2 linked regions of the Medicago truncatula genome follow. The protein of the gene in region 1 interacts with the protein of each later gene in a pairwise test. Links are inferred from orthologs where the notes say so. Each region holds a gene or a part of one and is shown in the gene's direction. Other genes may lie near its edges.

Evidence for each region.
Region 2: the proteins of receptor-like protein kinase FERONIA (region 1) and rop guanine nucleotide exchange factor 1 interact in binary tests that used the Arabidopsis thaliana proteins (3 or more experiments, as listed by UniProt). The link is inferred for Medicago truncatula from reciprocal best matches to the Arabidopsis thaliana genes FER and ROPGEF1.

Annotation. Positions count from the first base shown.
Region 1 is NC_053048.1:34,220,208-34,224,135, forward strand, and holds the start of receptor-like protein kinase FERONIA, read left to right. Parts: upstream 1-1,425; 5' UTR 1,426-1,904; coding exon 1,905-3,928. UniProt on the Arabidopsis thaliana protein: Receptor-like protein kinase that mediates the female control of male gamete delivery during fertilization, including growth cessation of compatible pollen tubes ensuring a reproductive isolation barriers, by regulating MLO7 subcellular polarization upon pollen tube perception in the female gametophyte synergids.
Region 2 is NC_053045.1:36,884,847-36,888,774, reverse strand, and holds the start of rop guanine nucleotide exchange factor 1, read left to right. Parts: upstream 1-969; 5' UTR 970-1,236; coding exon 1,237-1,495; intron 1,496-1,625; coding exon 1,626-1,742; intron 1,743-2,044; coding exon 2,045-2,565; intron 2,566-2,881; coding exon 2,882-3,232; intron 3,233-3,688; coding exon 3,689-3,928. UniProt on the Arabidopsis thaliana protein: Guanine-nucleotide exchange factor (GEF) that acts as an activator of Rop (Rho of plants) GTPases by promoting the exchange of GDP for GTP. Acts downstream of PRK2 in the control of polarized pollen tube growth by activating ARAC11/ROP1.

The DNA of each region.
Region 1 (3,928 bases):
TGACTCAAGTTGAAAGATTAGCTTTGAGCAAGTGCAGGTTCGACCAATGACAATGACTTTGGCGTCGTTAACATTGTAGATCCGGAAACATGAGTATTCTGGAGACATGACTATATTCACATTAGTCATATTTGTAGGCACAAGTACTTTGTCGTTTTATGCTATTAACATGGATGTTGTGAGTTTGTTACATATTCATCCTTGTTGTTTTTGACGAATTTGTATTTGTATTGTATCGATGTACTCTATCAATTTAAATGAATAAATATCGTTTATTTTTTAAAAAAAAATAATCACATCATCGTCAAATTGAACAAGTATCGCCTCCATTTACGCATACCGCAAAAGTCAAGGAGCAAGAAACAAAAATGTAAAGATTCATTCAAAAGCTTAAAAGGAGAAAATTTAGGTGTGAACTATTACGGGTAATTTCAAAAAGGAGCCTCACTAACTAAAACTAAGTCATGTGGAGCTTTATTAATAAGATAATTTAACGATCAATAGATACAAAATATTCACGTATAAAGGTGTGGTTAGAGAACTTATTTTTACAATAAAGGCAATAAGATTTGAAATTAGGATACGGTTCAATTCTCTCCTACCATTAATATTAGTAACTACTATATGTAATTGGAAAATGTTACCAACTATATCTAAAATGATATACTTTAAAGTTAAATTTAACTAGTAAAAATAATGTTACTAAAATAACCTTCTTCTTTTTTGTGTTCTTTAAGGTTAGCTGTGATTTTTTGACAAATTTTCTATTGGAGTTGAAGATTATGTTGAGACTTGTTGTCCTAAACATTACATTATTCATAACGTTTTTTTTTTTTTGAATAATTATTCATAGCGTTCTTTTTTCCTTTTCTTCTCCTTTGTCATTCTATTAAGAAAACTAGTTTTTAAAATAAATATATTTTTTAGGTAATTAAAATAAATAAAATTAAAAGGAATTGTACTCTTTAAATTAAATGAGCTTATAATTTATTTTAGTAAATAAAAACTAATTTCAAAATTAGTATTATTTTCACTGGGCATTAGGTAGGATAATTTACATGATTGAGTGTAAATTTGGTTTCCCTCATGAAGTAAATAAGTTACACTTATAGGTTTGAAATTGATTATTTTTTCATCAAATAGTTAAGTGGATAACCTATAGTTTGAACATCAACTCTTGTTTATTGCAATATCATTGTCCACTTGAGCTATGCTCATTACGACGAAATTGATCATGTTACTGGTTAGTGAGTTTAATTTGTAAATGGTGAATTTTTATTAGATGTCAATCTATTTTTTTTAAAATGATCTAGTGCATGATGCCTTTTAAGTCAATTTTTGTTGGGTGAATTAATTTGCATTATTTGTATATCTATTTTTATTTTTTTTAACCTTTTGTGGTTATTGAATTTAGCATTTTCTCTTACAACTACAAGTTAGTGAGTTACAACTTGGTCGCAGCATTTATCTATTTGTTTCTGCAACTTTCTGACTCCATCAACTTCTTCTAATCCAACCCTACATACACAACAAGATCTCTCCTCTTTGACTCACCAAGTTGCTTCCTTTTTCAGCTCATCTTTCTTCCCATGGCATAAGGTAAAACCCCTTCTCTTTCTTCTACACTTTCCCTTCATTCACACCATCTTCTACACCTTTCTTTCTTCAAACAATCTCCTCTTAACTCTAAATCCACCTCATCATTTTCCCTTGCTGATTTTGGAAACTCTTTCCAATTTACTTTCCCGATCTGGGTGTTCTAAAAATCAGATCTTTCTATCAAATTTAACCTCTTTCTTTGTTTTACAATTCTGGGTTTGTTTAGATTGTAATTGTAATAAGCTAGAAACAAAAAACAAAACAAGGGTTTTGTTTATTTTGTGGTTTTGGACTTGTTGTGTTTCATGGTCATTATGAAGAACATGAACAAATACTTTGTTTGTGTTCCACTGTTTTTGTTCTTAGTGTTAGCTATTGAGCTTGTTCTAGCAGCAGATTTTAAGCCAACAGATAAAATCCTGCTGAATTGTGGCGGTCCTGCTGTTAGTACTGATCCTGATGGCCGTGAATGGACCACTGATAATGGTTCAAAATTTGGTTCATCAGCTGTAAAATCCACTACATCACAGGCTGCAACTCAAGATCCTGCAGTTCCGCAGATTCCGTTTATGACTGCGCGTGTTTTTCAATCGCCGTATACCTATAGTTTTCCGGTGGCTTCCGGTTGGAAGTTCCTACGGTTGTACTTTTATTCGGCTTCTTATGGTGGGCTTAATGCATCCGATGCACGGTTTGGTGTGACTGCGCAATCATACACCGTGCTTAGGAATTTCAGTGTTTCTGAGACTGCTTTGGGTTTGAATTACGATTACATTGTGAAGGAATATTGCATTCATGTTGATGAAGGAACCTTGAATGTGACTTTTACTCCATCTGCCAATGCATCTAAAGCCTATGCATTTGTAAATGGGATTGAGGTTGTTTCCATGCCTGATATTTATACTTCTACTGATGGAACCACCATGATTGTTGGTACGGGTACTACCTTCACCATTGACAACAGCACTGCACTTGAGAATGTTTATAGGTTAAACGTGGGTGGGAATGATATTTCACCTTCCAAAGATACCGGCATGTTTAGGTCATGGACCGATGATGTGCGTTACATTTATGGGGCTGCATTTGGAGTTACCGAGACTGCTGATCCAGAAGTGAAGCTTGAGTATCCTCCGGGAACACCATCTTATATTGCTCCGTCCGATGTTTACGTGACGGCCAGATCGATGGGTCCGAATCCCAATATCAGCTTGAATTGGAACTTGACTTGGATTTTCTCAATTGATTCTGGGTTTTCCTATCTTGTGAGACTTCATTTTTGTGAGGGCACGACAACTATAACTAAGGTTAATCAAAGGGTATTCGATATATTCCTCGGTAATCAAACTGCTCAGGACGGGGCTGATGTTATTGCCTGGGCAGATAGTTTTGACCTTCCACATTCAAATGGGGTTCCGGTGCATAAAGATTATGTTGTATTTGCTCCCAATGGGCCACCGCAGCAGGACCTGTGGCTTGCACTGCATCCAAATACAGCTTCCAAGTCCAATTACTATGACGCAATCTTGAATGGAGTAGAAATATTCAAAATCAGTGATAGTAAAGGTAATCTGGCAGGGACAAACCCTCCTCCTCCTCAGGTGCAAGACTTAATTGATCCTTCATTGGCTAGGAAATCTAGTAAATCCAAGAGTCATACAGGAATCATTGCTGGAGGTATTGGTGGAGGAGTTGCTTTATTGCTTTTGATTGGGCTATTTGCTTTTGGCACGTCTCGTCGCCGTAGGAATGGAAAAGATTCTAGTACAAGTGAAGGGCCGTCTGGCTGGCTTCCCCTTTCCCTTTACGGTAATTCACACTCTGCAGCTTCTGCCAAGACGAACACAACCGGAAGTTACACTTCCACTCTTCCATCAAACCTTTGTCGTCATTTCTCATTTGCTGAAATCAAGGCTGCTACAAACAACTTTGACGAATCTTTGATTCTTGGTGTGGGAGGATTTGGCAAGGTTTACAAAGGAGAAATTGATGGCGGGTCAACCAAAGTTGCAATTAAACGTGGGAATCCACTCTCTGAGCAGGGTGTGCACGAATTCCAAACTGAAATTGAAATGCTCTCCAAACTTCGTCACCGACACCTTGTTTCATTGATCGGATACTGTGAAGAGAACACCGAAATGATCCTTGTCTATGATCATATGGCATATGGAACACTCAGGGAGCATCTATACAAGACTCAGAAACCTCCACTTCCATGGAAGCAAAGGCTTGAGATATGCATTGGAGCTGCTCGAGGTCTACACTATCTTCACACCGGTGCTAAATATACCATCATCCACCGTGATGTGAAGACTACAAACATTTTACTAGA
Region 2 (3,928 bases), on another chromosome or scaffold:
TTTTACACCGTCAGTCTATTCTAATTAATCTCTTGAAATTTTGCAATTTTGACTTAAATTACTTTGACCATATTTTTCTACTAAAATACAAAGATAAATAATATCATATAAGACGTCGTTAGATTCGTCTCGATGAGTATTTTCAAAATATCATATTTTCATGATTTTTTCTAACATATTATTCAAAATATTTAAGCTCAAAATTATACATTGGCATACGTAATATGATCAACTGTGACATGTATTATGGGACGGATGAGGTACTTTTTTTTATAAATTTACAATGCCTCAGCCAGTGGATTTAGACCATCTCCATTGGAAGGGTCTTAACTATTAGATATCCCAATGAGGAGAATCTTTTTCAGAGTCTTATAAGACCCGGGGTCTTACTTAAGATACAAAAATTATTAGATACTACTGTTAAAAAATTATAAATGAGCGATGTATACACGTGAGATTCATTTAATAACCCAAAAATAAATGTCTCCATTGTGGATGCTTTAGAGCAATATCAAACAATCATTATTTAATACTATGGTCTAGTACCTCTCTTATTTGCTTTTATTTTTTGACAAGGTACCTCTCCTATTGTTTTTATAGCCTTTTTTGTTTATCATAAAAAGGAAAAGAAAAACTATATTAGCAATAATAAATAAATGAAAAAAAACAATAATTCATGAGATTGGGCACTCCTTAACATTCCTTTACACGGATACCAACGTACAGTTAACGGCCGTTTGGTTCCGTTTCCTAAACCAGTCGAACTCCCTCCATCTTGATATCGTATCAACGGTTTCGCGCTCAAAAATGGCCCACAGAGCCAAAACCCTCCAACAAAAACAATCCACGTCATCACACCGAAAAGTGGCCCCACTGATAAAGAGCGTGTCGGGTGCTTAACCTTCGGTTACGGAAAAGACAATCCCTGCAAACGGCGTCTCTTTGTTTACTTTTGCCTTCATCAAATCATCACCACCACTATACTCCACAGGTCCACACCTCAACAACAACACTGACAGAGTAAAATAAAGAATTTAACAAATACTTATAACAAAGACAAAGAAAAAGAATGTGAGTGGAATAAGAAGTGAAAGAGAACGTTGAAATTATCTTCTTCACTCGCTTTACTTACCCATTTATATCATTTTCTCTTATTATTATCTTCACTGTTACCATAGCTATTGAAATGTGCGTTACCAAACTAAGATCTGTGTAAAATTTTGCTGTTGTAAAGAAATGGGAAGTGTTTCGTCGGAAGATGTTTCAGAGCGATGTGGAAGTTACAGTCCGAGTGCTGACATCAGCGAATCGGAAAGTTCTAGCAGCTTCTACGGCCGACGTTTCGACGCGGAAGGAGCTTCCAGCTCGGCAAATCTCTCGCCACGTCAGCTCGCCGCTCATTTCAACTTGCCGGCGACGGCGCAGGTTATGCTTCCGGTCATCGGTGGGAAAGATGTTGCTGTTTGGGATCACAAACGTGACTTGGATTTGACCGGTAGAGTGCTCATTCATGTTATTCTCTTTCGTACAATTGTTGTTGCTTTATGTTTTCTATTCATGAAAAATGTATGAGATTCTGAGATTGAAATTGTGAATTGTGTTAACGGTGTTTTTGTATTTTGCAGAAGTTGAAATGATGAAGGAACGTTTTGCAAAGTTGCTTTTAGGAGAAGATATGTCCGGTGGTGGAAAAGGGGTTTGCACTGCACTTGCAATCTCTAATGCCATCACAAATCTCTCCGGTTAGTTTGTTTTTTTTTCGCGTTTTGCATGTTAGTAACTATGAATTACGGACACGCAGACTGACATGTCGACGACACTGATAATAATAATTTGAAGTAATGAGTAATTCTATGTAATCAGATGTGTCGGTGTTGTATCAGTGACACAACACGTCTCAGACACACATCTTCGTTCAGAATTGTCGGTGCTTTAGAGGTTAATAAAGAAATGCATTTTTGTATGTATGATATGTGTTTTTTTTTTTTTTTTTTTTTTTTTTTTTTTTTTTGTGCATGACTTTGAATTGAAATTGTAATTGCAGCGACTGTGTTTGGTGAATTATGGAGGTTGGAGCCACTAGCACCACAGAAAAAAGCAATGTGGCGAAGGGAAATGGAATGGCTACTTTGCGTGAGTGATTCAATAGTCGAGTTGGTGCCTTCTGTGCAGCAATTTCCAGGTGGTGGAACCTATGAAGTGATGGCGACGCGGCCTCGCTCTGATTTGTACATCAATCTTCCTGCTTTGAAGAAGCTTGATGGAATGTTGCTTAGTATGTTGGATGGATTTTGTGATACTCAGTTTTGGTATGTTGATAGAGGGATTGTGTTGGGTGATTCTAAGGATTGTGATGATTATGGTAGACCTTCTGTTAGGCAAGAAGAGAAATGGTGGCTTCCTTCTCCTAAGCTTCCGCCGAATGGGTTATGTGAGGATGATAGGAAAAGGTTGCAGCAGTGTAGGGATTGTACGAACCAGATACTTAAGGCTGCCATGGCGATTAATAGTTCTGTTCTCGCTGAAATGGAAATTCCTGCTGCTTATGTAGAATCCTTGCCAAGGGTAATAATACTTTGCTTTGCATATAGGAAATAAACTGTGTTCATGGTTAATTTTGGTTTGGTACTCGGTTTATATTTTGTAAAATATGATTATATCATGCTACAATGGTCCATACTAGACAGACATCACTTCTTTTATGCATGTTTGAGTTGCAAGTACTTCTAATTAGTGCTGAAATCAGTTTTATCCATGGTTCAAAACTTCAATAAGCTGAAGTGGAATTCAAAAATGGTTTAGTATTTGGTAGAATGTTTTGAATTTTTTTCGCTAAAATTGGATGAAAACTCAAAATGCCTTTTTGGTTTTACCAATGCAGAATGGCAAAGCTTGTCTTGGGGATATAATATACCGGTACATAACTGCTGGTCAGTTTTCCTCTGAATGTCTTCTGGATTGCTTGGATTTATCATCTGAGCACCACACACAAGATATAGCTAATAGAATTGAGGCTGCTATACATGTATGGAGGTTGAAAGACTATAAGAAACTTAAAAAATCGGGGAAAGCCAGACGGTCTTGGGGTGGAAAGGTAAAGAGCCTTGTCGCTGATGGTGAGAAGAACCACTTTCTTGTCCAACGGGCAGAGACACTACTGCAAAGCTTGAAACGCCGATTTCCCGGGCTTCCTCAAACAGCGCTAGACATGGCCAAGATACAGTATAATAAGGTACATTTTCTCCCTCTTAAAGTTGGGATAAAACTCATAATTCGTTCTATTGATCTGCATCATACATTTCACTCATAATTGCTAGTAGATTGTGTTGAAGTAATATGCAATATATTAGGTGCATCTGATCGGGAAATTATTTCTAGTTTGTTCCAATTAGCATTCAAAAGTTTCAGCAGAAGATATAATCCTGGCATCGGTACATAGATATCATTTTCTAAGTTTCTTGGTTCCCTTATGCCTGTATTTTGTGAGAATAAAAAGAATTTGCTGAGGTCAAGTGCAGTATAAATAGCATTTTCAGTTTCATCATCCATATTGACGATTGATCATTGTATGTCTATGTGATAAGTTTGTGCATGGCTTCTAGTCTGTATGGTTACAGAGGTTGGGCATTGGGACAAGGGAGCTTAAAATCAATGAATAAACTTATTTGGAACGTTGTTTTCCTTGCAGGATGTAGGGCAGTCTATTCTTGAGAGTTATTCCAGGGTGATGGAGAGCTTGGCCTTTAACATAATGGCCAGGATCGATGATGTCCTTTATGTAGACGATACTGTAAAACGAAGTGCAGCTGCAGATTCTATCTTGTTCGGCAGGGGAGGTTTTGGTGGTCTGCCTATTCAAAAGCGAATGACTCCCAGCCCCTTCTCAATTCAACATACCCCATACGCCTCTCCTTTTGCTACCCCATCA